Linked DNA regions of Astyanax mexicanus. The protein of the gene in region 1 interacts with the protein of each later gene in a pairwise test. Links are inferred from orthologs where the notes say so. Each region holds a gene or a part of one and is shown on either strand. Other genes may lie near its edges.

Region 1 (7,733 bases):
CCGTGACACCACATCGCAAAGCTTAGCCACAGTCGCATTGTATAAATATCACAATACATGAAATATACACTGTGCCTCACATACACACCACCCATAGCCATGAGCACAAGGACAAGCAAACATCACCACAGCAGAAACAAATCACACACACGCACATGTAATTCATCTCCCTCTCTCTCTCTCACACACACAGCAGGAAGCCTTTTCAATTACCCCTGCGCCGTTCCGTCGCCTGGCTGCAGGCTAACCTGCGGTAATTAATGAGCTTTTATTCACCACAATCTGATCTCAGATCAGCATTGGACACATTTGATAAGTGGAATGGAATCTGTGAAAGCTCGTTCTGACTGGAAATGTAATTACCTCTGTGCTCATGCAGACGCGAGCAGTCAGGACACACTAGGCCCAGCGCAAACCCAGGTTAAACGTGTTCATCATCACACGCAAATGAAGCCGCCAGACTCACGCCCAGCAGAGAGATTTGTTTTGGCAGGTTCCGCCTGCTTAGTTCCTCCTTTATTTGGTTTTGGCTAAGAGTCGCTTAAACTAAATCATTTAGGTTAATGTTCCAGCCCAATGACTCTAATGAACTTCTACATGGAAACGAGAGGCTTATGAAAACTCTTGCTGGGTTAGAGACAGTTATTCATGTATAAATTCGTTCAAGTGTGTTTTGATCATCTCAGAATGATCAGTTACTCTCTCTTCATTCTGACAGACAGTGCAGTTCACATGCTAGTTTCCATATCTGAAATGTTCAATTTGCTTCAGTCTACATCTTCCTACAGAATCTTATTGTCAAATCTGAAAATGTATTTGTTTTATTATCAAATTATACAGTTTGACTAGAAATGTAAAAATATGTAGTGAAGGCATTGGTTCTACATTTGTCACAAAATGATATTACTTAAAAAGAAATTTGTCTTTTATGATGTATATAGAGTAAACGTTCACAATTCTTTGTGTTAATAACTTCCCAAAGACCATGAGAAACAGTTAAGATGCTTATTACTTTGAACAGGTGTACTGATGAAAAAAACCCATACACTATTTCTAGTGACCAAATGTACAGATTTAATAAAAGTGCACTAGAAATATGCTAAAATATTCTCCTAAAATACTATGATTTAGAATAAGCCTACAAAGGTAAAAGTAGGGCAAATTATCCATTAAAATAATTTTGACACTGTCCATGGAAAACCAAGTATCTCTAAGTTATTTATTTATTTATTTATTTTTAGTCAAGTACATAATTTGACCTGAAAAACTGTAAGTGTTACACTTTCACACTTTCTTTCTTGATGAATTGACCAATAGAAATTCTTCAAAATTACCTGAAATACATATACATACACTTTTTTACACTGACTTCCATTAAAAGCAACAATTTATTTTATTCTCGGTTGGTTAGTAAACACATATTTCTATTTAAGCTTCAGATTTTGGTTTAATAAATAAGTACTGTGGAACACAGTGTGCTATTGTACACTGTAGAGCACACTCAGTGTGCTCTACACAAAAAATATACTAAACTGTCAGTGGAATGGTACCTTGCTTGTCACTGTGGTGGTACATCTGATGTTTTTTTTTTGCTCCATTTAGTGTTGACTCCAGACTTTTATGTACAATATTAAAAGGTATAGAATGATACATTAATAATGATGCCTGTTTGCATTATGCAGATCATATTTAATGGAAAGAGCCCTATTTTATATGTATCTTAGCAGTCTATAGTTTATAAAGCACTTGAAACGTAAAACTAAACATTGTTCTGATGTTGTCTGTCCATACAGTTTTTTTTTATTAATTAATAACATATTTGGAAAAGAATAGTTTATAGTGAAATCTTATTTTATTAAAACATTTAAACCTCTCTTTTGTTGCCTGCATGCCGTCCTTCAATTGCCACTGTCCTATTTTACTACAATTCCCATAATCCTTAATGTCTGAAGAACTTTGTCACATGTCTCCACTCTACCAATCAGGAACTGTCCAACACTCAGCCTGTTCTGGGACTCATTAATAATTATTTGTCTCATCTGCGTCTTATTGCTCTGTGTATTTAAATCAGTCGGTTTGTCATTCACGTGGTAAGGTAAAGCGTTTCTCTCTTTGTCTGTTTGTTCGAGGTTACTTTTCTGTTTCTGGCTCTTTTGGTTTTGTGTTCTCTTTTGTTGAGTCTCTGCTTAGTTTGTGTTCATGATTCTGCCCTTCTCTGGTTTTAGACACCAACAAAGTTACTTTTTTCACCCATTTAGTGCCATAACTAATGTTTTATCCTCAATATCCTCAAAATGCCACATAGTACAGCTAAAACAATAAATCAATTTAACACATTTATTGATTTACTTAATGGCAAAGTAAAATATTTGCCCACAAATAAATGCTGTGGTTGTATCCTCAGATTTTAATACTAAATAATGGGATTTGACATTAATGCAAGTCACATGGTTTTCGTTTGAACTTTTTGCAGGTTTATATAGAGTTGACCATAACATGGGACACACATGGAATACAATTAATTTTTAATTATTAAAATAGTCTGATATGTTTTGTGTAGTTGACATTATAAATGTCAATAAAATAAATAATATAAAAAAAAAAATATATAGACCATGCAGTGTGATTTTTAGTGGTGGGAATCCTGTGTTAAACAGCTCAGTACTTCAGAGAGGATATTTTTTTAAAACTGAGACTGAAACATGCCTGTTCTCTACAACTAGTGTTGATTTGTGTTGTCAGACTGTTCTACTGCAGCATGTGTAGAGGTAACTTACAGCTGCTGAAAACATAGAATATTCTTATCACAGTATTAAAATAATAGGGAGGACATTTTAAAAGAATCAGCTGTATGTACTTTAATAGAAACTGAGAAAAATGCAAAACAACATTTTAAAAGCTCAGTTATTATGCTATAGCGAAGTTCTGTTCACATAGTTAGCATTGTTTAGCAATATGACTTAATAACATCACATTATGCTGTATTTTGTATTGTAAACAGCACGTAAACATGTCCATTGAAGTTAGGCAGTAACTTACTATGTGTAGGAATGATTTAATGAGACACTAATAGAAGTGCTTTTACTGCTATTGATTTTCAGATGGTGGACATTATGTGAATTAGCCATTAACTAGCTTAGCTAGTTTAGCTAACCTAGCTAACATTCATAAGTCAGATCTTAGAAATGGTAACTTAATGTAACCACCAGAGAGAAAATGAAGTGAAAACAATTCAGAGATTCAGTAAAAAAGGGGGAAAGAAAAGGTAAGGTAGCAGGTGCCATAATAACTATATCCAACCTACTTAGCTAGAGCCAGCTGTTTTATTTTGTAGTGAGTTTAATAACTACAAACTATATTTCTTGCAGTTTACTTGCTAAGTTGGAGTTTTAGTTTAGCTCTAGCTAGTAAACTAGTTAGCTAGGTTAGCTTCATACCACAGAGAGTTTAACAGCAACTGCTGTGAAAGTGTTAATTTGCTCAAAACAGTAAAACATTTAACAATAGATTAGCTATCACTGTGTGTATTGTTGTTCATGTGCTTGTTTGTTTCTTTTTGCTTGTGTGTTTGCGTGCTTGTTTTTTTTGTTTGTGTGCTCCTGTTTGTATGTTTGTTTGTTTCTGTGTGTGTGTGTGCCTGTGTTTGTGCGTGCTTGTTTGTGCATTTGTTTCTGTGTGCTTGTGTGTTAGCTAACTTGCCAGTTAATCAGGTTGTTTGCTCTAGCTACTTTTGGTTAAGAGCTTTTGAGCCATGTGATGTCTGGCATGGTGGCTGAGCTGTCCTGTGCTTATAGTATCGAAATACACCTTGTACTGAATAGCAAAATGTTGCTGTTTGAACTGGCTTACAGTGGATATGTACTAAATAGACAAATTACAAACTTTTATTTTACTGAATTTGTAGTATATTCTTGAAATTAGTAAAACAACAACAACAAAAAAAAAAAAAAACAAAGCTTTGCCACATCGTCATTAATATTTTTAACGCAAAAAAGCTTATTGCTCACCCCTAACCATAATGATTTAGCATTGTATTATTCTGCTTACTGCTGATGATGTAAAAATTGTTTAGCTTCAATGGCTACTAAAAGGCAAGGTCATGAATGGCACAGACAGAAGGCAGAACGTGCAAACTCCACAGAAAGACCCGGGTCACCCCAGCCAGGAAACGAATCTAGGCCGCCTTTAAATTTGCTTTAAAATAACCTAAACATAGCCGTGCATGGTTATTTCGAGAAAGTCTAATGGAAAGCATTTTCAGTAATACTCATTTATTCAAACACAAGTTGACCTTGTGGCTTGTCTCTCAGTATTAGTCTCTGAACAACCTGTTTGTTGGCTGGCTTTAACAATCACTTCTACAAAAATGAGTGGTGTACAGGCTGTACAAAGCTGACTACTGATTTGTACATTATCAATAGACAGAGTAATCATTGACTATGTTTTGCACATACAGTTATTTTATTTGCACAGATTTAACTCTAAATAGATTTTTTTCTTTGTAAAACGCAGTGCAATGTGTAAACAGTAAACACATTTGGTCATAGCTCCATGAAAAGAATAATAATGGTTACAATAAAACTTAATAGCTAATTCAGTTTCAGTTTATTTTTAAGGGGAAAAATCTTGTTCTTTCTATACTTTCTGTGTTTTTGCATGAAACAACTTTGCTCTGTGATTAGATCAACATTTGATCTTTTTTATTTCTGCAGGGTTCCATGGTCCAGAGTGGTCTGCTGGAGGTGCTTAAGAAAATCAAGGACAGTAACAATCATCAATTTTATTTATTGTAACATACAGCATGTGAGCATAATTTGTATTTGTCAATACGCAAACATATTTTAATTAGGTCAGCAACTAATGATTATTTTTGTAGTTGACTAATTTGAAGATTATTTTTTCAATTAGTCCATTAGTCATCGATTATTTTTGACATGTTCTCTATCGCTAAAAATGATAGAAACAGCAGAACATAAAATTTGAAAGACATTTAAATGTCTAGATGTTGTTTAAACATGAAAAGTACTGATCTTTAGTGTGAAATGTGTATTCTGTTGTGTTTGGGCACTTTTGGAGACAAACTAAGTTTAGTATAAACTGTGAGAGTGAGCCATTTACGCATCTTTCATTGCGTTTCTGCTCCCAGCACTTTGTGTATTGCAGTTCTGTTACAAATGAAATTAAATTAAATAATGGACTCTTCTTCACCGCCCTAATTTTCACACAAAAAACGTTTTGTCAAATGATATACTAATCAGAAAAACATGGTGAGAAATCGTATACAGAGTGTTTCCTTTCCTCTCCTCATGATTTTATAGGACCAAGACACATCTCACCCCTCGGCGTCATCTTGGGACTTTCGAGTGCTCCTGCTTAAACATCGTGGACGGTGATGGATGGAGAGAAAACACAGGCATAGGAGGTATGTGAAAGTGAAGAATAGAAGAGCGGGGTGCAGCTATTCTAAGGAATAAGGTAGTGATGAGTAGGGATAGTGGCGATAGGGCCTGGTGTGTGTGTGCTGAGACGATGTGTGTATGTAGAGAGATTGGATGTGTGTGTTTGAGCCTGACTCTGCTGTTGCCTCTGTAGTCCTGTAGTCACCCTCGTAGAGCTGTTGAGTCAGCCAGGCTGCTGCTGCTGCTGCTGCTGTTCTTGCTGCTGCTGCTGCTGGAGAGAGGATTCCTATCTGCTGCTGGGATATCCACACCCACGGAGCCACACGCTCTGTTTGACAGTCCGGAGGGTCCTCCTGAACTAAAGAACGCTTCGTTTTTTCAGAAGAGGAGATCCGGGAACAAGAGGACAGGTGTGTTAAAAGAGGAGGACTCTGCGACAGGAAGAGTATATCCAGCAGCGGAGCCTGAATAGATAGAAGGAGCAGAGGTAGGGGCTTTTTACTTCTTTTAGAGGTGTCTTTGGTGTGTTGTAATGACATGGTGTGAAGTAAGTGTGTGTGTGTGTGTGTGTGTGTGTGTGTGTATGGGTAAAATTCTACTTTGGTAGAAAGTGAACTGGAGGCTGAGATGTGCCCTGCTGGGAAGATAATCAAGCCCTAATATAGACATAAATGTGTGCATATTCTAAATTGCAGCAATGTTGTCTCAACAGTTGTTAGTAGTGTTGTAAAGCTGCTATGCTGCAGTGTGTTTTTATTATTTTGTGATACATATAGGGGTGTATATGTCAAGGACTGTGTATGAGGTGTATACATTGGTTATTTCTATATCAGCACTGTATAAACTCTGCATAATGAAAGCAGCTGCTGTTTACAATGCATATACATTTTATAATGAATGGTTAAATAGAAATGAAGTCCTGATTAATTTAACATCAGTTCATAGGTAGGAACATTTATTGCTTATATTCAAGGTCTCTTTGGTGACCCCAGCAGCATAGAAGTGTGCAAAAGATTTTTTTGGGCAGTTTTAAACAGTTAAGGAATAGTCTACTTTTGCTCTTGAGACCAACCCTGTTTGATATAAACTGGGGTGTGTGTATGTGTGTGTGTGTGTGTGTGTTTTCCAGCCATGTGTCCTGTATCTTGTCTGTGCCTCTTACTGGAAGCTATAGCTTGTGCTGCTCAGTGATTTGACACTGACCATCAGTCACTCTGACAGCATATCCATCACTTAATGCTGCAGGACATAAAGTTTTACTTTTAGATGCACATGTGTGTATGTGAGAGCATGGGTAGGTTCATTTATGTGTTTCTGGGTGATGTAACCCTGGTTCTGTATAGAAAACAGATGGTATAGAACCGTTTAAAAGAGCCAGTTTAGGGTTATAGCCTATAAGGTTAATATTGGAGTACTGTGAAAGATGATTCCTACCTCTTCTTCTGTGGTTATGGGTCTGTGTCATCATCCAAGCCCATATTACTGCCACCATGGCTAAAGGAATGACTGTAATATGAAATTCATATTGATATTTAATTGCTTATCTTACTGTATTAATTGCTTAAATCTATTCTAGTTGTTACTGCACGCAGGCACGCACGCACATACACTGATCAGCAATAACAGTAGCACCAGGTGCCTACTATTGAGTAGGTCTGTTTAAGGTTTAGAATGCACAAGACCTCTAAAGATGTTCTATGGTATATGTTCCCAAAATGTTAGCAGCAGATAATTCCTTTAAAACATCAGTGTGCTATGATCCTCTCTTTGATTCTCTTGTTGTCTTTCTTGGAGCACATCTGGTAAGTACTGACTGCTGCATACCCCCAAAAATAAACCCTCAAGAGAATTTTAGATATGTTCTTATTTAGTAATTTAGCCATTGCATTGATTTACCTTTGTTAAAGTGGCCAGATCCTTATGCATACTCCCTAATATAGCCCATCACTTAACAGATGCCACTAGAGATATATGATTGTGGGAAAAAAAAGGCTGACCTTGCAATATTTTTTTTTCTTGTAAAATGTATTGCGATATTAAACAGTACAGGAATTTTACCGGAAGTCAAAGAAGTCAGTGATATTTTTAATTAATTCCATGTATGCAGGATTTAAATAAAATAAATGATATTGGGCAAATATAACAACAATTAAATTAATTAATTTAAATATAATGTGGGCATTGACAATGATGAAACCCTATATTGTGCAGGTCCAGAAGCCATGGTGAGATTAAGGATAATTTTCACTTCCTCTGTCAGTGGTGCTGATATTCTGATTGGTTTGCATGTACACCATATAGGAGCATTTTGTAGCTCTATAAGTACAGACTGTA
Region 2 (7,959 bases), on another chromosome or scaffold:
GACCCAATTTGTAAAGAATACATTACGTTGTTTTGCAGCTTTGCTTTGGAGCGGACTACCTATGGAAATTAAATGTAGCCCATCGGAACAGGTTTTTAAACAGGTTTTTAAACAGGTTTTAATGAGATGGTTATATTAAAACTGTTTATAGACCCTAGACATTGAGAGTACTAAATACATAAGGAATATCATAAGAGAAGCCACCTCGCTGTCTGTCATCTTTGAGTATGTTTTATGTAGGTGTTTTGTGTTTGTGGGCAGTAAAGATGTTTAATTATGGGTGTTTTTTGTAGAGGACCACAATGGAAACAAGCCTTAGTGCTTTACTGTGTTTTAATCCTCAATGATTTGAAGTGCGTAATGTCTTGTCTGTGTATGTACTTTCTGAATCATTAAATAAATTCAATCACTTAATCAATCAATCATCACACTGCCAAGCTAAAGTCGCCACCAAAAGAAAAAGCCTTTAGCTTTGATTAGTGCATGCATTCACTGTAGCATTGTTTCAATAAGCTTCTGCAATGTTGCAATATCACAAGATTTATTTCAATCAGAGTTGCACTCATTTTTTTTTACCAAGATCTTGCATTGATGATGCAAATTACTGTTATGCCATTATATTTTAGATCTACATAAACTGTCTTAAAATGACAGCTCCGTCTCACCGCTATCAGAGGCACAATGCTCAGCCAAATCAGCTCTCCCTCCTGCCCTTCCCCTAAACCCATACATCACCCAGTGCCCCTCCCACACTACTCCTCACTATTTCTTTAGCATACTCTTTAAGGTATATTAATTACACATGGATTAGAAATGGAATTTATTCATTAATATTACAGTGAGTTCTACTCACGATTTTCTCATAGTACTCCCGCCGTCGTTCCCCACGGCGTTTGTAGTCCACCATCATCCCGCGCAACTTGCGCTCATGTTTGCGGGCCTCCTGCCACATGACAGCTCCGCTGGGGGTGGGGGCGCGTCGTGGCACGGCTGCTGGTTTGGTACAGAAAGAGATTCAATCAAACACACATCTGTGTGAGCTGATTCTAATAGAAAAGTGGCAATGACACACTTGCTGAAATTTATTTTTCTAGATGTAAAAAACAAACAATACAAAACAATACAAGAGTTCCAAACACAAAATCCAATGCTGGGGGCATGGTCAAACATTTAACATTTTTATTACAGTTTATGTATATACATATACATATATATATGTCTTTTGTCCCTCAGGCCATAAGACTTTTCAAACTAAAGACACACCCTCAGCTATAACACTATGTTTATAGTTCTACCCTATTCTGCACTAGTAGTTCATTCACTAGTTCATCCATCTACTGTTTACGTATCTTTTGCACTGCTGAATTTAAATCATTATAACTGTTCATTTGCACTTTCTGTATGGCTGACATCAGTTATACTCACTTTATGCACATCAACTGGCTGCACTACCTCCATTCTACATTACACTCACACTAAAGACTGTGCTTTTACATTGTACATTCTACTTTTTTATTTGATTGTATTTATATGTATCTTTATATTTTATATATTTTATTTTGTAACTTTGTGTATTCAATTTGTAACTTTGTGTCTGCTGCTGGATGTCTAGAATTTCCCCTCGGGGATCAATAAAGTATCTATCTATCTATCTATCTATCTATCTATCTATCTATCTATCTATATATATATCTATATATATATATATATATATATATATATATATATGACCAAGACAGCAAGTCTTTGTGAAGTATCAAGAGCCACTATATCAAGGGTAATGTCATATAATACCATACACCAGCATATCGTATTGGATGAGGATTTTTTTTTCTTTTAAAACATTGGCATTGGCTAATATTGTCAATATTGTCAATTATTGTCAATTATTGTCAAAAAGTGACACTGGCCGCACAACTACAATTGGCCGAAACTTAGTTAGAAGTTAGAAAGTTATATCAAGGTGCCTAGTCTCTCTGCAAGTTATAAATGTATAACGTATAAAACATATTCTAGTTAGTTTAACACTTTTTGTTTACAAAATAATTTAGCATGTGTCCCTGTATAGCTTTAATATAGTATTCAATATTAAATTTGCGATGCTTAAAAATTATAATAAGAAATAAAGCACATTGAATGAGAAGAGGTGTGTCCACAATTTTGACTGGTACTCTAGCAATATATTTATGTAATTATAAATATATGTATATTTTCGATGCCGTATCATCATAATCATCATTATAATGACTCCAAACCTAGATAGTTCACATTGACTAGTTAGCTAATATCTTCCACAGATCTAGTTGAACTAATCCAGTTAAACATTAACTCCAGCTTTACCACTGGATTGCAAAGATAAACTGTTACTGTAAGTATAACCAACCAGCCTATATACAAATTAATAGCAAATAAATAGAATTTAATACTTACATTTGAGTCATATTAAATGATAATTAATATTAAATAAACTTAACGTTAGTTATCTAGCTAAATGCATGGTTTACTATGCATGAGCTAAAGCTGCAGGGGAATTAGCTAGCTAAACTTACAGAGATTACCAACAGTTCTCTAGCTAAGCTAAGCAAGCTAAATATTAAATACTATCATATTTATACTAATACAATTAAATATTTATTAAATATAAATATTAAGAAACAGACAGTTAACTAGTTAAGCTAGTTAGCTAACCTATGTTAACTAACTGAGTTAGTTAGCCTAGTTAGCATTAGCGCCCGTTAGCGCTCCAGTAGCTAATGCTAACGAGCTATGCTAAGCTACCTAGCTCTGCACCTAACCCGCTAAAACGCAGAGTTTCCCCCCAGCCGCAGCGCTCACACCCCGTAGGACTGATATATATAAACTGTTAATATTTACCTGCTTTTTAGTTCCCAACAGATGGAAGCGTGTTTTATTAATATCGCTGCTTTATTCCGCCGGAGCGCGCAGGCAGAGGAGCACAGGTCGCCGAGTTAAGCTAAACTATGCTAAGCTAAGCTAAGCTAACTACACACCCCCCTGTCCACAGCGCGGAGTGATACATCCAGAACTAACCAGCGACCCCTGCAGGACCGGAGCTCACAATTTTCTGAATATTTTTTTCTGAATCAGTTTCTCTGATTTTGCTATTTATAGGTTTATGTCTGAGTAAAATGAACATTGTTGTTTTATTCTATAAACTACAGACAACATTTCTCCCAAATTCCAAATAAAAATATTTTAGTTATTTAGAGCATTTATTTGTAGAAAATGAGAAATGTCTGAAATAACAACAACAAAAAAAAAAAAGATGCAGAGCTTTCAGACCTCAAATAATACAAAGAAAAAAAAAAGTTCATATTCATATTCAAGTTTTAAGAGTTCAGAAATAATCAATATTTGGCGGAATAATCCTGGTTTGTTTTTAATCACAGTTTTTTCATACATCTCAGCATCATGTTCTCCTCCACCAGTCTTACACACTGCTTTTGGATAACTTTATGCTGCTTTACTCCTGGTGCAAAAAATCAAGCAGTTCAGTTTGGTGATTTGATGGCTTGTGATCATCCATCTTCCTCTTGATAATTGATAAATCGTCTCTTATTTTTGTCCAGAGCTTTGTTCTTTTGTTTTGAGCTTAATATGTTAATATGTTCCAAATATTACTTACGGCAACTTAAGTATATTTCAATTGTAAATAAGCTTTATTTAAACACAACGTAAAAGCATTAAATTGTGCTTTTGAGTGTGTTTTTTTTTTCTCGTATAACTTCTGCGAACTTAAGCACATTTAAGTGTGTTTTTTAAAGATCATGTTTAATACACTTAAAGTACAATATATTGTAAATGTACTACTTTGCATATTGATGCACATATGGTGTACACCTTAATGCTACTGAAAAAAAGAACTTAAACTACACTAAAGTGCACTTTAAGCAGTAGCCTATTTAATGCTATTATGCAGTATATATTTTCTATCAACACAACATATGTTTTAAAGCATATTGCTTTTACAGAAATATAGTGTAAGTATATTAACACAGAAAATGCACTTAGTATTCTTTACCTAATGTTTTGTGAACATACTTTTAATGCTTTTTTCACAGGACTTGGCACACTGCCCACACTGCCAAAAGTACCAATTGGTCTTATAATAATATAATATTCTAATTTTCTGAGACAATGATTTTTGGGTTTTCATTGGCTGTAAAACATAATATTTAATCAACAGTAAAATAAATAAACGCCTAAAATAGATCACTCTGTGTTTAATACATCTATATAATATATGAGTTTTACATTTCGAACTGGATTACTGAAATAAAGTAACTTTTCAATTATATTCTCAGTTTTTGAGATGCACTAGTATATTGTATTTTTGATTGTGGTGTTGGTCTTTAAGTTGATTTTTTTTTTTTTTTGCTATTTGGGCTAATTGGCACCTGATTAGTGTAAAAAACTTTTCTTTATCATGTATTATCTTTTTACATTATGTAGTTTCTGAGAAAAATTATGTCCACATATGTGGACTGTAGTTTTAAATTTCGCCAGAACACAATGAAGTCGCAATTAGTAATGATGTGCAAAACACTTATTTTGTGTCTGAACACTAGGGGTGTCACGATTCCGATATTTCATCAAAATCGATCGGAATTATGTCATGGTCTCGAGCCTCGAAGTCAAAAAGAGGATCGACGATCCCTCCCTCTAAGCTACGCAAATCGTGCAGCACACTGTAGCCGACGCCGTGGATTTTGTGACTGCTTAAGAGAATGTGGACGTTCTCATCTTCTTAAAGAAAAACTTTCAAATATAAAAATAACAGTTGTTTTGTCTAGCCTCAAATATGTTAATAGTTTTGGTACCTTAAGGAGCATCTTTCTCTCAGATAAAGTTAATAATATATCTTTAATAAAGAAAAAACTTCATTCTCAGGGATTGAGTCTTATTTTTCATGTTTAACTGTTATAGTAGGATAGAGTTCAGTTCGTTAAGGCTCTAATTATTCTATTATTTTATACATGACTGTTCCTGTATTTTTTTATTATTTATTTTATGTTGCACATTGCTGTTTTAATAGTGCACACTGCTGCTACCAAAAAAGCCACTAGATGGCATTACATATATATCTTAATTAAATTATTTAAATTTGACCATTAGTGCCTAATGTGGTGTATTACAGATCACTTGTATCACTTTGCATCACTTATATCAAGCCCACTTTTTGAAATAAGATAGATAGATAGATAGATAGATAGATAGATAGATAGATAGATAGATAGATAGATAGATAGATAGATAGATAGATAGATTTGAGCAATATGGCTCATTTGAATGCTAATTTAACACAAAGACATACAACAATCACCATCACAATCACTAGGTGGCAGTATAATGGCCTCATAAGTGGACACCAGGCCTTTGTAGAGCAACATTAAATGTTGTGGTCTAAACAACCCAAAATGTGATGTTCACACATGTGGACGCCAGGTTCTAGGAGTTTATAAGGGTAATGTGGTACCTGGAATCCAAATAATCAGAATGATCAGAATCAAATGACTCGATCGGTCCTTTCAGTGCAGCACATTCTGTTCTCCTGACCTGTCAGTCTAATTTAATCTGCTGTATTATTTTAGTGCTGATCTGAAGGTATGTTCTCTGGAGGCCTGGCACTGGTTCAGTTCAGTACAGGGCTGAGCTCGGTACACAGATCTGCCCCGGGGCTGTTTTTCAGTTAGGTAAGGTTGTTGGGTGGGGCAGAAGTCATGTCATGTGACGCCCTGCTGGACCGTTCCTCTGCGCCAGTGTGGTCACTCAGGGGGGACTTCCTAGACCACAGTCGCCTCATTTTCAGCCCTTTTATAACCGATGCTCTGGGAGTTAAAGGCCCCGCCGGGCCTGCAGCACTGTGGCCAGGCTTAAACACCCAAACCACAAACATCAAACAGAACCATCAGAACAATGCATCAGAACAAAGCCCTTTTAACATACAAAAAACACAATTGTCTAATTTATTTTTACTATTCATCTTACAGCTCTGGAAAAAATAAGAAAGCACTTAAAAATGATGAGTTTCTTTGATTTTAACAAATTAAAAACCTCTGGAATAGAATCAAGAGGAAGATGGATGATCACAAACCATCAAACCACCAAACTGAACTGCTTGAATTTTTGCACCAGGAGTAAAGCAGCATAAAGTTATCTAAAAGCAGTGTGTAAGACTGGTGGAGGAGAACATGATGCCAAGATGCTTTAGGTTATTCCACCAAATATTGATTTCTGAACTCTTAAAACTTTATGAATATGAACTTGTTTTCTTTGCATTATTTGAGATCTGAAAGCTCTGCATCTTTTTTGTTATTTCAGACATTTATCATTTTCTGTAAATAAATGCTCTAAATGAGAATATTTTTATTTGGAATTTGGGAGAAATGTTGTCTGTAGTTTATAGAATAAAACAACAATGTTCATTTTACTCAAACATAAACCTATAAATAACAAAATCAGAGAAACTGATGTATTTTAAAGACTACAAAAAAAAAACTACATGTAATTAATAATTTCCAGCTTAAAATCACTTTTTATTTTTATTCACTTTTTAATCTTTATCTTTATCATGATTTTAGCAACAACTGGTATTTAAATAAAAACGTGGTTGAGTTGGTTGGTCAGTGACTGTTCTTCTGTTTAAAATATACATTTTTGATATAAAAAAAAAAGAAAATTATCTTAATTACTGTAATATTTTACTGCACCAGTTTGGATAGATTAAACTTTACTTCTTTTATTTAAGCTTTAATTATGGAGACAATATAAGAAATATTAAGTTACTGTAAATTAATATTATTGATAGTCTTCAGTCCCTTTGAAAGTACAGCAAAGTATTATAAAGCTTTTGATGTCCCTTTTTTGATGATAATTTCAAAATTCAGTGGTCCCAACACTTTCAGCTAGGACTGCACTTATTTAACCATTTAAAGTAATTATTTAACTTTATTTATTTAAAGCAGTACTGCGGACATGGCAAACCCGAACAAACACCCATATAAAAAAATATATGTATTATAAAATGTACAATAGAAAATATGTATATTTAAGTATTTAAGGTGAAGATTAAAGTTATTTCTTCATATCTGTAATGAAGTGGTTATTCAGAGTAAATCTTGATTTTTATTGAGTATTAAATTTAAACTCAAAGCACAATTTATACTCATATTGGCCCAAATAATACACAATAAAAATGTAGAAAACATAAAAATCAAACCTCTTTATTGACATTTGCACATTAATAGAGAAATATCTCTAAGCACAATTTAAGCACAATAAAAATATTAAAGCAATCGATGCTGATTGTTGTTCTCTAAGACACCTGTTTAAACTGTTTATGTACACAATTATACAATTCTGATAAATTCCCAAAAATCAGCCAGTAAACAGATTAAACATTCAGTCCTCTTGATCCATTTACCTGCTGTGAGAGAGTATACAATACTGCAATACTTCCACCTGCTGGTCATTCATAACAGAGCAGCTCACAAATATGCTGTAAACACTGTATTCACAGATTTAACAATATTAACAACACAATTCCCTATTGTGTATTGTTATATCCATCAGTTAATAAAGCATATTTTATTTTATATATTATTTATTTTATATTTTATTTATATTATTAAATATACAGTACCAGTGAAAAGTTTGGACACACCTTAATAAAATGTGTTTTTTCATCATTTTAAAATGTTCTGTATTGTAGATTAACACTAAAATCATCCAAACTACGAAGAGAAACATAAAAAGATATGTTAAACAAACCAGAAATTTACATTCTTGAAATAGGCACAGTTTTGAACATCTCTGCTGGATTTTCTCAGTCAGCTTTATAAGGGTAGAGTCACCTGGAATTCAGGCTTTCAGTTAACAGCTGTGCTGAACTCATCAAGAGTTAATTACTTGAATTTCTTGCCTCTTAATGTAAATTTA

The links.
Region 2: the proteins of dab1a (region 1) and CLK4-associating serine/arginine rich protein interact in a two-hybrid assay, tested with the Homo sapiens proteins (2 studies listed by BioGRID and IntAct). The link is inferred for Astyanax mexicanus from reciprocal best matches to the Homo sapiens genes DAB1 and CLASRP.

What each region holds. Positions count from the first base shown.
Region 1 is NC_064408.1:62,180,483-62,188,215, reverse strand, and holds the start of dab1a (DAB adaptor protein 1a), read left to right. Parts: upstream 1-4,711; 5' UTR 4,712-4,803; intron 4,804-5,318; 5' UTR 5,319-5,422; intron 5,423-5,592; 5' UTR 5,593-5,886; intron 5,887-7,733. UniProt on the Homo sapiens protein: Signaling adapter of the reelin-mediated signaling pathway, which regulates the migration and differentiation of postmitotic neurons during brain development.
Region 2 is NC_064416.1:2,806,787-2,814,745, reverse strand, and holds the start of CLK4-associating serine/arginine rich protein, read right to left. Parts: upstream 3,024-7,959; 5' UTR 2,875-3,023; intron 994-2,874; 5' UTR 953-993; coding exon 854-952; intron 1-853. UniProt on the Homo sapiens protein: Probably functions as an alternative splicing regulator. May regulate the mRNA splicing of genes such as CLK1. May act by regulating members of the CLK kinase family.